3 linked regions of the Stegostoma tigrinum genome follow. The protein of the gene in region 3 interacts with the protein of the main gene of each other region in a pairwise test. Links are inferred from orthologs where the notes say so. Each region holds a gene or a part of one and is shown on either strand. Other genes may lie near its edges.

Region 1 (3,751 bases), on a different chromosome or scaffold from region 3:
AGCCTGAAGATCCTTGTGATCCTGAAAAGCAACAAACAACCCTGTAGTCTGACCACAGAAACAATGAAAACAGGTTAAATTGCAAAAACAGCCTGACAAGATGACTTGGGAATGTTTTAGGAACACTGAAACGAATTAGACATATTATTTGTCTTCACGCCACAGAGATGGCTTATTCTTACTGCATCCACAGTTCTTTCGGTTTTTATTTAGGCTTATTCTTAGACTTGTTTGCCAAACCAGAGTTACTACCACATTTGATAAGCCATGGCAGAACTGAAGTCCATCACCTGCCAGCAGCATAAAATTACTCCTGAGATTTTCTGTTCTTCCAGAACCGGGCAAAGCTAATTTCACAGAATTTCTCCCAGTTCAATCGCCTTCAGCCATATCCAGTCATATCACCTGCAATTAAAAAAAATCAATATGATAAAATTGATTCATTTCTCAAAGAATGCACTTCCACCATGTGTGCACAACCTGAATCTGTATCAGGAAATGAAAATACTACAGTGTTACAGGCTCTGCTTCCTCTCCAGGCAGGAGACATCTTTCTATCAGTAGAAAATTGCAACCCCCAGGAGCCTGTTCCAGTAATTCAGCCATGCACTATGGAAACACTTACTTTAAATAGGTCACAGAAAAATGGTTCCACAGTATTCTTGATAACAGAATGGCTTAAATAGCTTCTGTAAACCTTTTTGGTCGAGCTGGGATTTTCTTTGTGTTAACTGTTTCCTCCTCTTTCGAGTACTTTCATTTGGAAGGATGCATACGGACCTTCCAAGCTGTCTTGTTGACCCTTTTCTGGTATGTTAACACATCCTGCGCTGCTCTAGCACTAATATTTGTGCAACAAAGAAAGCATTTAATCAATTGGCATGGGTCTGTAACCATAGGCTCTATTCAACCATTACCAATAGGTTTAAAGATGCCATCTTACTGCAGATCTTAAACTCTACTGCAACTCTCTTGAATCCTTTGCTTTAACCATATTGCTAACCACCCCCACCCCAAACACAAGTAGTGTCAAAGTCTCCAACAAGATTAGGTCCACACTCTGGAACTTACCTTCTTAAACCCCCCTATTTAATTTTTAACATTTAAACATTCGAAGCACCTTGGATGCTTTCCCCGTGAAACCACTGCGAATGTGAGCAAGACCCTTTTCGGCACCAGCAAAAGTAGTTATAACTAAGAAATAAAAGCAAACTACTGCTGGAGTTCTGAAGAAGTCATATTGGATTCTCATTATAACCAAGAACCAATGCAGAGCAGACACCTTCTTGAATGGACTCTCGGGAAACTTCTCCCCGAGGTAATTATTTCCACATCAAAACCTTTAAACCTGGAGTCAAAATTTCCAAACTAATTCTTCGTCTATCACAAAGTATCTGCACCATTTATGTGGTCTTCTTTAAACACTGTTGTCTATTTATTGACCTTTGCTGCTGTTCTTGTCTCCCCATATTCTTCCCTCTTGCTACCCCTTTCTGTGTTTATTTCCAATTCTCTGGATTCCTCATCTTTTCCTCCTCTCCTCCTACTGTTCATTTTCTACTGCATCCTGGATCTGCACAACTCCAGTCATGCCACCTGGATTCCTGGAGGTCTCTCCACCTTGCCCTTCCTCCGGACGCTGGTCATCTTGTCTCTTCCTCGTGATCACACCCTCCCCCATTCATCATCCCCATTCACCTTCCCCCAACGACCACCCCCATTCTGCTCTCCCTCAGTGATCACCCCCAGTGATGACCTGCCATCCCACACCATCAATGATCTTCCCCAATGACCACCCCCAATTCCCCTCTCCCTCAGTGATCTCCCCCCATGATTACCTGCCATTCCCCTCTCCTTCGGTGATCTCCCCCAATGACCACCCCATTCCCCTCTCCCTCGGTGATCTCCCCCAGTGATTACCAGCCATTCCACCCCCTCAGTGATCTCCCCCAATGACCCACCCCCATTCCGCTCTCCCACAGTGATCTCCTCCAGCGACCAGCCATTTCCCACCTCAGTGATCTCCCCCAATGACCACCCCATTCCCCTCTCCCACGGTGATCTCCCCCATTGATTACCAGCCATCCCACCCCCTCAGCCATCTCCTCCGAACCCAGTGATCAACCCCAACCCCTCCCTCAGCGACTAACCCAGTGATCATCCCATTCTACCCCCCCTCAGCGATCTTCCTCAGTGATCACCCCGAGATGTACAGCCTTGACGACCAATTGCAGGGTTTTCATCTTTAACATAAAACACAGAACATTTCATCTTTACCAGGATCATTCCCGATCCCATCTCTCCGCGTTTTGCCGGCCGGCCGGCCCTTTCCTCACCCAGATGAGGGGATGGGAGATTGTGTAGAGGAGCTAGGGGTCAGGCCGCAGCTCCAAGGCCCGAGCCCCAGCCGAGCTCTTACCGCCCTCCAGCCGCGGCTCCTACTGGACTACAACACCCACAATGCACGGCCTGACGCATGCGCGCGTAGTGAAAGCTCACGTGACATCTTTCAACAGCTGATCCTCACCCTCCCATACCAAAACCTCCCCAACCCCCAAACCCCGCCTACCATCACCTTCCCCACCCCCTAAAGACCCCCTACCAACACTTCCCTCCCCCAAACCCCTCCCATCATCACCTTCCCCACCCCCTAAAGCCCCCCTACCAACACCTCCCCACCCCCAAAACCCTTCCCACCATCACCTTCCCCATCCCCTAAAGCCCCCCTACCAACACCTCCCCATCCCCTAATCCCCTCCTACCATCACCTTCCCCACCCCCTAAAGCCCTCCCACCATCACCTTCCCCACCCCCTAAAGCCCCCCTACACACCTCCTAGCATCACCTTCCCCATCCCCTAAAGCCCCCTACCAACACCTCCCCACCCCCTAAACCCCTCCTTCCATCACCTTCCCCACCCCCTAAAACCTCCCTACCAACACCTCCCTCCCCCAAACCCCTCCCACCATCAACTTCCCCACCCCCTAAAGCCCCCCTACCAACACTTCCCTCCCCCAAACCCCTCCCACCATCACCTTCCCCACCCCCTAAAGCCCCCCTACCAACACCTCCCCACCCCAAACCCCTCCCACCATCACCTTCCCCACCCCTAAAGCCCCCTACCAACACCTCCCCACCCCCCAAACCCCTCCCACCATCACCTTCCCCACCCCCTAAAGCCCCCCTACCAACACCTCCCTCCCCCAAACCCCTCCCACCATCACCTTCCCCACCCCCTAAAGCCCCCCTACCAACACTTCCCTCCCCCAAACCCCTCCCACCATCACCTTCCCCACCCCCTAAAGCCCCCCTACCAACACCTCCCCACCCCCAAACCCCTCCCACCATCACCTTCCCCACCCTAAAAGCCCCCCTACCAACACCTCCTCACCCCCAAACCCCTCCCACTATCACCTTCCCCACCCCCTAAAGCCCCCCCTACCAACACCTCACCACCCTTTAAACCCCACCGACCATCACCTTCCCCAACCCCTAAAGCCCCCCTACCAACACCTCCCCACCCCCAAAACCCCTCCCACCATCACCTTTCCCATCCCCTAAAGCCCCCCTACCAACACCTCCCCACCCCCTAAATCCTTCCCACCATCACCTTCCCCATCCCCTAAAGCCCCCCTACACCCTTCCCACCATCACCTTCCCCACCCCCTAAAGGCCCCCTACCAACACCTCCCCACCCTCTAAACCCCTCCCACCATCACCTTCCCCACCCCCTAAAGGTCCCCTACCAATA
Region 2 (3,751 bases), on a different chromosome or scaffold from region 3:
TAGTGCAAGTTGCAGGAACAAAGCATAATTAACTAAAAGCAAAACAGGGAAAGTGGTCACATGTTTTGATCTGGTACTTTCTAGGGACTAGCATTCAACCTCTCCTGAGACTGCATGTACACCTTACAATAGAAAGAGAAAGGCACTGAAGCAACTAACTGGTACTTTCTGTCATAAACATACAGCTAAATTACTACAAAGGGTCAGATTTGTTTCAGTGATATTAGTTTAGAGATATAATGTCAACACAACATAAGAATCTCTACTGCCATCCTTTTTTAAATTGCTCCCATTTTAATAGGGCAGAAGGGCATGGCTTGGTTTTGCATTTCAGAGTCACCACGTCATATAGTCCACTGCTGCATTGGACTGTCAGCCTAGGTTCAGCAACCAGGTCTCTCAAACTGGTACTCATCCCACAATCTTGTGGCTCAGAGGCAGTGGAACATGGCTAACCCGCACCTACTCTCATTTAATCATTTCAAGCTTGAGAAACACCAAGACAGAATGTTCTAGAGCACAAAGTAAAAACACAACTGCAAGGCGAAACAGAAAACTAACTAGGGAAATGACTCATCACCCACTTGGTGAGCAGTTACAATTTTTACAGGTATAAAATTCAACAACAGGAATCAGATCATTCACAGTAAATCTCAGAAGTAGTCTGAGTTATATTTTGCAAATTGTACTTTTGAGTTTTTGAAAAGGAATTACAAACTGATTCTCAAGGTGGTTTTAGATCATCAAGATCTAACCACCATCCCATTGCCACTGACACACACCAATATATTGTCAGCCAATACATAATCAGCACCTAAAATCAGACATGATTGACAACATTGGACTTATCCTCTTGGAAGAAAACAAAAATATAATATAGAAAATCTTTTTTTCTGCAAATAAGCATTTTCTTACTTCCTCGATTTATTTCCAGTGATCTATAGGTGGCGCATTGTGAAAGGCTTCCCAGATTCTGCTCATACTACATAGTGACACATGGTGTCACCCATGTCCAAGAATGGAGAAAGCTGTAGATCTTTCCATATTAAGCCTATAGCATTACCAAAAGAAAGGCAGCTCATGAGGGTCATGACACTGGAGACTTTCCACTGAATTCAAAAGTCACACTGTTTCTTTTTGTTTCAGTTACAATTTTCCCAGTTCATTGTAGCAGTAAGCAAATAAAATACTACATACTTGTAGTGAAATAAGCGAATATTGTGAAGTAAGATGAAATCATCTAATGCTTTAATTCTGCCCAGTTGCAAGTGAGCAGATATAGTCATGCAAGACTGCCCTGCAGTCTGGTTTAAACTGAACTATATTCATAATTAAAAACCAAAACAAAATAGAAGCTTGTTGGGTCACCTATCCTCTCGCACCCCCATAGGTCTGCCTTACCTGCTGAATGTTTCCAGCATTTCCTGCTATCATATCAGATTTCCACTATCAACAGTATTACACAATTGAACCATAGAATCTGAACTAAATTACAGCAATTGAAGATAATCATCAAGCACCTAAACAGGTAGTTCAAATTGTACAAGATGAACTTTCATACTAATTCATTTAGAAGCTAGCCTAGAAATAGGTGAAGAACTCTTAAGGAGAAAGAAATTAAATGAAATAAAAGTCTATAAGATATTTATATCAAATAAGTGACACCATGGAAGCATATTACAGATGTTAGAGAGGTCTTGTATTCTTGACCCCTGCCAAGCCACAAATCCACATTAAAAAGGTGTGGGGGTAGAGGAACCCAGTGCCCAACAAGTTGTCATCTCACTTCTGACTTCAACCACTAGCTATGCACACCAGCAGCTACATTTCAGGAATCTCGACTTGGCAACTGTGCAGAACGAAGCAAAGGGACCCATCAGCTACAGCTGGCGTGATGCAAGAATGCCACTCCTTCAAGGTGCACAAAGACTGACAATGAACAGGTATAGCGTAACAGGCAGATCTGAACACACCAGGACGACAAATGGGTCACAACACAGTTGAATACATGTGGACATACACACAGCACAGTCATGGCACTCACGGCAAGTTACCAGACAGCAGTAAAGAGCCTGGGTACCTCTCACTTGTGCTCTCTTACACATAGATATCACAGTCCATAGTTAGTCATGGAACAGCACAACCAAATTTGGCATACCATGACAGATATGGACACAGTTAAGCATAGAATAGCATAGCCACATGCAACATTCCATAACACCAAACGTGTCCAGAGTTAGTCATAGCCAACTGTGGAATGTGGCAAATTAGCTAGCTACAAACCAGAGGAAGTGAAAGAAGCTAACGTGGCTTCTGTAAGGCAGAAAGGATGGGGAAGGAATTCGACTGAGCTGAAATCGGGTGGAGCGGGCTGGTTGTCAGAGGGAGCACCAAAAAAGTTCCTGAAATTCCAAAAGAAGGAATCTGAAGTTGCCGGGCTTGGAGGTTTTGATGGGGGTTCCGCGCCTGCGCACTAAGGGTTGCCCAGTGTGGCGGGGGGCAATATTTCGCAAAGCAGAGCCGGAGCCCGGCTCGTGGGAGAGACTGAAAGAGAGGCCCAAGGCTCCAACTTGTATTGGCTCTGAAACCGCTGCTGGCTCCCTACCCCCCCCGAACCCCCAACCAACATCACTCGCCGTGTCAGCTCGGACCGGGCCCGTCACCCTCACCGTCAGAGTCCAAACGACAAAATGCATTTTTCTTTAAAAAAAACACAAAATTAACCCACGGAACAAAACCGACCGGTAATTCGCAGGGAGGAGAGGAGAGTGGGGTGAGGGTCGAGAGTTGTGGACTCACGGGCAGCCTGGGGAGAATCTCGGCCGAGCAGCGGTGACAGAAATAGCGAGAGAGTGAGGAAGCCTCCGCCATATTCACGTAAAGCCGCCACAGTGACGTACAATACGGGTGCCCCGGCGTATCCAACATATGACCTCACACGCCAATTGTGACGCACTTGGATCTGTCAATCACCGGAGAGCGGAGGGTCTGTTGTTATTCGCGACCCACTCGTGTGTCTTAACTCTGGGTGTGTTTTTATATAATGACCGCTGACCTGGGCTTTCTTACCCGATTCGCCTTCTTCCCCTCCCGTTGGTCATGGCGACAGTGAGGAGCCGCCACTACCGACTCTGACAGGGACAACCGGCTTGGCGCCTTCTGCTTGTCTTCCTCCACGGGCCGCCGCCGGGGCCTGTTCAACCTCGCTGGGCCCAGGCTCCAAGTGTGAACCATTGTAGGCCCCTCGTTCCACCCCCCACACCATCGAGCCGGTCCTGCCATTCAATAAGATCGGAGGCTGGCTATATTTCAACCTCCTGCGCATCCCCAGCGGTCTTTCACCCTCTTCATTCGGTCTAACCAGTGGTATTCGAACGCTCCCAACAGCAGGTGGTTTTACATTGGCAACATCAAACTGTTCATTTAGCAATGATCCCGACCTTCCTAGTTGCCGTTTCAATAACCCTCCTTGCACTCCTGCTAGCCTTTCAGGCCTGGGCTTGGTACAGTGTTCCAATGAAGTACAATCCCAGGAACCACACTTCACTTTCCACTTCGGCAGTTTACAACTGCGAGGACTCATTATTGAATTCCACGACTTCAGACGCCCGACCTCATGCTGTCTGCTGTCCGTTTCCCTTACATTCTTCCCCCTTCTCCCCAGTAACACAGTCAAGTCTCGTTTGTGTTTTATTCACTTAACTGTCGGCAGGGAGGACCCTTTTTCTCCCTTTCAGTTCTCAATTCATAT
Region 3 (3,751 bases):
GTGTGGTGTGGGGGGGGTGTGTGTGGGGGGGGGGAGTGTGTGTGGGGGGGGGAGTGTGTGTGGGGGGGGGAGTGTGATGTGGGGGGGGGGGGAGTGTGGTGTGTTGGGGGAGGAGTGTGTGGGTGGAGAGTGTGTGGGTGGAGAGTGTGGGGTGGAGAGTGTGTGGGTGGAGAGTGTGTGGGTGGGGGGGTGTGGTGTGTGGGGGTGTGTGTGTGGGGGGGGGGGTGTGTGTGTGTGGTGGGGGGGGGTGTGTGTGTGTGGTGGGGGGGGAGTGTGTGTGTGGTGGGGGGGTGTGTGTGTTGGGGGAGGAGTGTGTGTTGGGGGAGGAGGTGTGTGGGTGGGGGGTGTGTGGGTGGGGGGGGTGTGTGTGTGTGGGGGGGGGGAGTGTGTGTGTGGGGGGGGGGGGGTGTGTGTGTGGGGGGGGGGAGTGTGTGTGTGGGGGGGGGGGGAGTGTGTGTGGGGGGGGGAGGTGTGTTGGGGGGGGGAGTGTGTGTTGGGGGGGGAGCGTGTGTTTGGGGGGGGAGCGTGTGTTGGGGGGGGGAGCGTGTGTTGGGGGGGTGGGAGCGTGTGTTGGGGGGGGGAGCGTGTGTTGGGGGGGGGGAGCGTGTGTTGGGGGGGGGGGGAGCGTGTGTTGGGGGGGAGCGTGTGTTGGGGGGGGTGTGTGTGTTGGGGGGGGGAGCGTGTGTGTTGGGGGGGGGGAGCGTGTGTGTTGGGGGGGGGAGCGTGTGTGTTGGGGGGGGAGCGTGTGTTGGGGGGGAGCGTGTGTTTGGGGGGGGGAGCGTGTGTTGGGGGGGGAGCGTGTGTTGGGGGGGGAGGCAGGTGTGTTGGGGGGGGGAGCGTGTGTTGGGGGGGGGAGCGTGTGTTGGGGGGGGGAGTGTGTGTGTTGGGGGGGGGAGTGTGTGTTGGGGGGGGGGAGTGTGTGTTGGGGGGGGGAGTGTGTGTTGGGGGGGGGAGTGTGTGTTGGGGGGGAGTGTGTGTTGGGGGGGGAGTGTGTGTTGGGGGGGGAGTGTGTGTTGGGGGGGGGGAGTGTGTGTTGGGGGGGGGGAGTGTGTGTTGGGGGGGGGAGTGTGTGTTGGGGGGGGGGGAGCGTGTGTTGGGGGGGGAGCGTGTGTTGGGGGGGGGAGCGTGTGTTGGGGGGGGGAGTGTGTGTGTTGGGGGGGGGAGTGTGTGTTGGGGGGGGAGTGTGTGTTGGGGGGGGGAGTGTGTGTTGGGGGGGGAGTGTGTGTTGGGGGGGGAAGTGTGTGTTGGGGGGGGAGTGTGTGTTGGGGGGGGGGAGTGTGTGTTGGGGGGGGGGGAGTGTGTGTTGGGGGGGGGAGCGTGTGTGTTGGGGGGGAGCGTGTGTTGGGGGGGGAGCGTGTGTTGGGGGGGGGGAGTGTGTGTTGGGGGGGGGGGAGTGTGTGTTGGGGGGGGAGTGTGTGTTGGGGGGGGGGAGTGTGTGTTGGGGGGGGAGCGTGTGTTGGGGGGGAGTGTGTGTTGGGGGGGGGAGTGTGTGTTGGGGGGGGGGGGGAGTGTGTGTTGGGGGGGGAGTGTGTGTTGGGGGGGGGGGAGTGTGTGTTGGGGGGGGAGTGTGTGTTGGGGGGGGGAGTGTGTGTTGGGGGGGGGGAGTGTGTGTTGGGGGGGGAGCGTGTGTTGGGGGGGAGTGTGTGTTGGGGGGGGGAGTGTGTGTTTGGGGGGGGGGAGTGTGTGTTGGGGGGGGAGTGTGTGTTGGGGGGGGGGGGAGTGTGTGTTGGGGGGGGAGTGTGTGTTGGGGGGGGGGGAGTGTGTGTTGTGGGGGGGGGGAGTGTGTGGGGGGGAGTGTGTGTGTGTGGGTAATTGGTGGGGAGTGTCGCAGGTTCTGAGGACACACACGGAGGGAAAACGCGAGTGGGTGCGGTGGGGGGGGGAATAGGGAACCACCTTCACCCCAGCTCCTGGCTCACACCCCCAAGCTTCCCCCACCACCCCCCCGTCCCGCGGCCTACTCCCTCAGGCCTGGCTCCGGGCCCTCACTCCCTCCTGCGGCCCGTGGCGCACTCACCCTGGTTCCCGATCCCGCTCCGGGCTCTCCGCCGCCTCGGAAGTGGAGCAGCCGGGACGAGGGTGTTGGTGCAGCTCCCTGCCGGCGGTGATGAACAGGCCCGTGTCTCGCCACCCACCGGCCGCTCTCTCTGTGACCGTCTCCGCGCTCGGCACCGTCCCCGAGAAGCAGTGCGCCTGCGCACTCCCCGCCAGGCCCCCTCCGGCAACCATGGAGACCGCGGCTGCCCCGCTCCCGCCTGCCTGCACACTCACTGTCTCTGCCTGTACACACTCACAGCCTGCACACGCTCACATTCACTGCCTGTACACACTCACAGCCTGTATAGTCATGCTCACTGCCTGTACACACTCAGCCTGTGCCCAGTCATTTTCCTCACACACTGACAGTCTGTGTACAGTCATTGCCCGTACACACTCATTGCCTGTTCACACTCTCAGCCTATACACAGTGACTGTCTGCGCATATGCACCACCTGTACACACTAACAGCCTGTGCATGTCACACTCAGTCTGTACAATCACGCTCACCGTCAGTACACACTGCATGTACACAGCTACAGCTTGTACACACACAGCGACAGTTTGTACACACACACACTACCTGCTCAGATTCACACTCACAGTTTATACACACTCACTGCATGTACACATTCACAGTCTCCACACCCTTGCAGCAGATATACTGTCACAGCCAGTACATCCTCACAGTCTGTACACACTTACTAACTGTGGACACAGTCTGTACACACTCACAGCATGTACACAGTCACTGCCAGTACATGCTCACAGCTGTACACAATCTGTCTGTACACTTTCCAGACTGTACATACACACTGCATGTACACACTCACTGCCTGTTCACAGTCTGTACACACTTACTGACTATAACTCCCTGCCTTATGCACTCACTTTCACTGACTGTATACACTCACTGTATGGACACACTGCCTTTACAGAGGCACACTCACATTCTGTACACACTCATTACATGTACTCACACAGCCTGAATACACTGCCTGTACACAGTCACAGTCTGTACAGTGTCACTGTCTGTACATGCTCACTGCCTGTACACTATCACTGACTGTATACTCTCACTGCCTGTACACAGCCACAGCCTGTACACAGTCACAATCTGTGCACACACAGTCTGCACACTGTCACATTCTGTACACTGTCACAGTCTATAAACACTCACTGCCTGTACACACATTCTGTTTGCACCCGCAGCAAGTACAGTCACAATCTGTGCACACACAGTTGGTACACTGTCACAGTCTGCACACACACTCACTGCCTTTACACAGTCTGCCTGTACACATTCCCTGACTGGACATACTCACAGTCTGTACACAGTCACACTCATACTGTGATATAGCCATATTCTGTACACAGTCTGAGTGCACACATTCACTTCCTGTTCACAGTCTGTGCACCCTCATTGACTGTACACACTGCTTGTACACAATCACTGTATGTACACACTCACTGCCTGTACATAGTCACTGTCTTCAACAATTACAGTCACTGTATGTGTGCAGCAACTGTCTATACACAATCATAGTAACCTACTGTACACAGTCACTGTCAGTCTGTACACATTCACTGTTTGTACACAGCCACTATGTGTCCACAGTCACACTTACTGTTTGTAGTTGTAGAGTTGTACAGCACAGAAACTGACCCTTCAAACTCACTGACCATATTCAGTCACTGTCTGTACTCAGTCACA

What was found.
Region 1: the proteins of large proline-rich protein BAG6-like (region 3) and klhl12 interact in binary tests that used the Homo sapiens proteins (3 or more experiments, as listed by UniProt). The two-hybrid records come from large-scale screens. The link is inferred for Stegostoma tigrinum from reciprocal best matches to the Homo sapiens genes BAG6 and KLHL12.
Region 2: the proteins of large proline-rich protein BAG6-like (region 3) and rnf126 interact in binary tests that used the Homo sapiens proteins (3 or more experiments, as listed by UniProt). The link is inferred for Stegostoma tigrinum from reciprocal best matches to the Homo sapiens genes BAG6 and RNF126.

What each region holds. Positions count from the first base shown.
Region 1 is NC_081374.1:45,325,121-45,328,871, forward strand, and holds the start of klhl12 (kelch-like protein 12), read right to left. Parts: upstream 2,458-3,751; 5' UTR 2,278-2,457; intron 406-2,277; 5' UTR 291-405; intron 1-290. UniProt on the Homo sapiens protein: Substrate-specific adapter of a BCR (BTB-CUL3-RBX1) E3 ubiquitin ligase complex that acts as a negative regulator of Wnt signaling pathway and ER-Golgi transport.
Region 2 is NC_081383.1:14,959,081-14,962,831, forward strand, and holds the start of rnf126 (E3 ubiquitin-protein ligase RNF126), read right to left. Parts: upstream 2,915-3,751; 5' UTR 2,872-2,914; coding exon 2,800-2,871; exon of another isoform or gene 2,518-2,799; intron 1-2,517. UniProt on the Homo sapiens protein: E3 ubiquitin-protein ligase that mediates ubiquitination oF target proteins. Depending on the associated E2 ligase, mediates 'Lys-27'-, 'Lys-29'-, 'Lys-48'- and/or 'Lys-63'-linked polyubiquitination of substrates.
Region 3 is NC_081387.1:19,777,615-19,781,365, forward strand, and holds the start of large proline-rich protein BAG6-like, read right to left. Parts: upstream 2,375-3,751; 5' UTR 2,018-2,374; intron 1-2,017. UniProt on the Homo sapiens protein: ATP-independent molecular chaperone preventing the aggregation of misfolded and hydrophobic patches-containing proteins.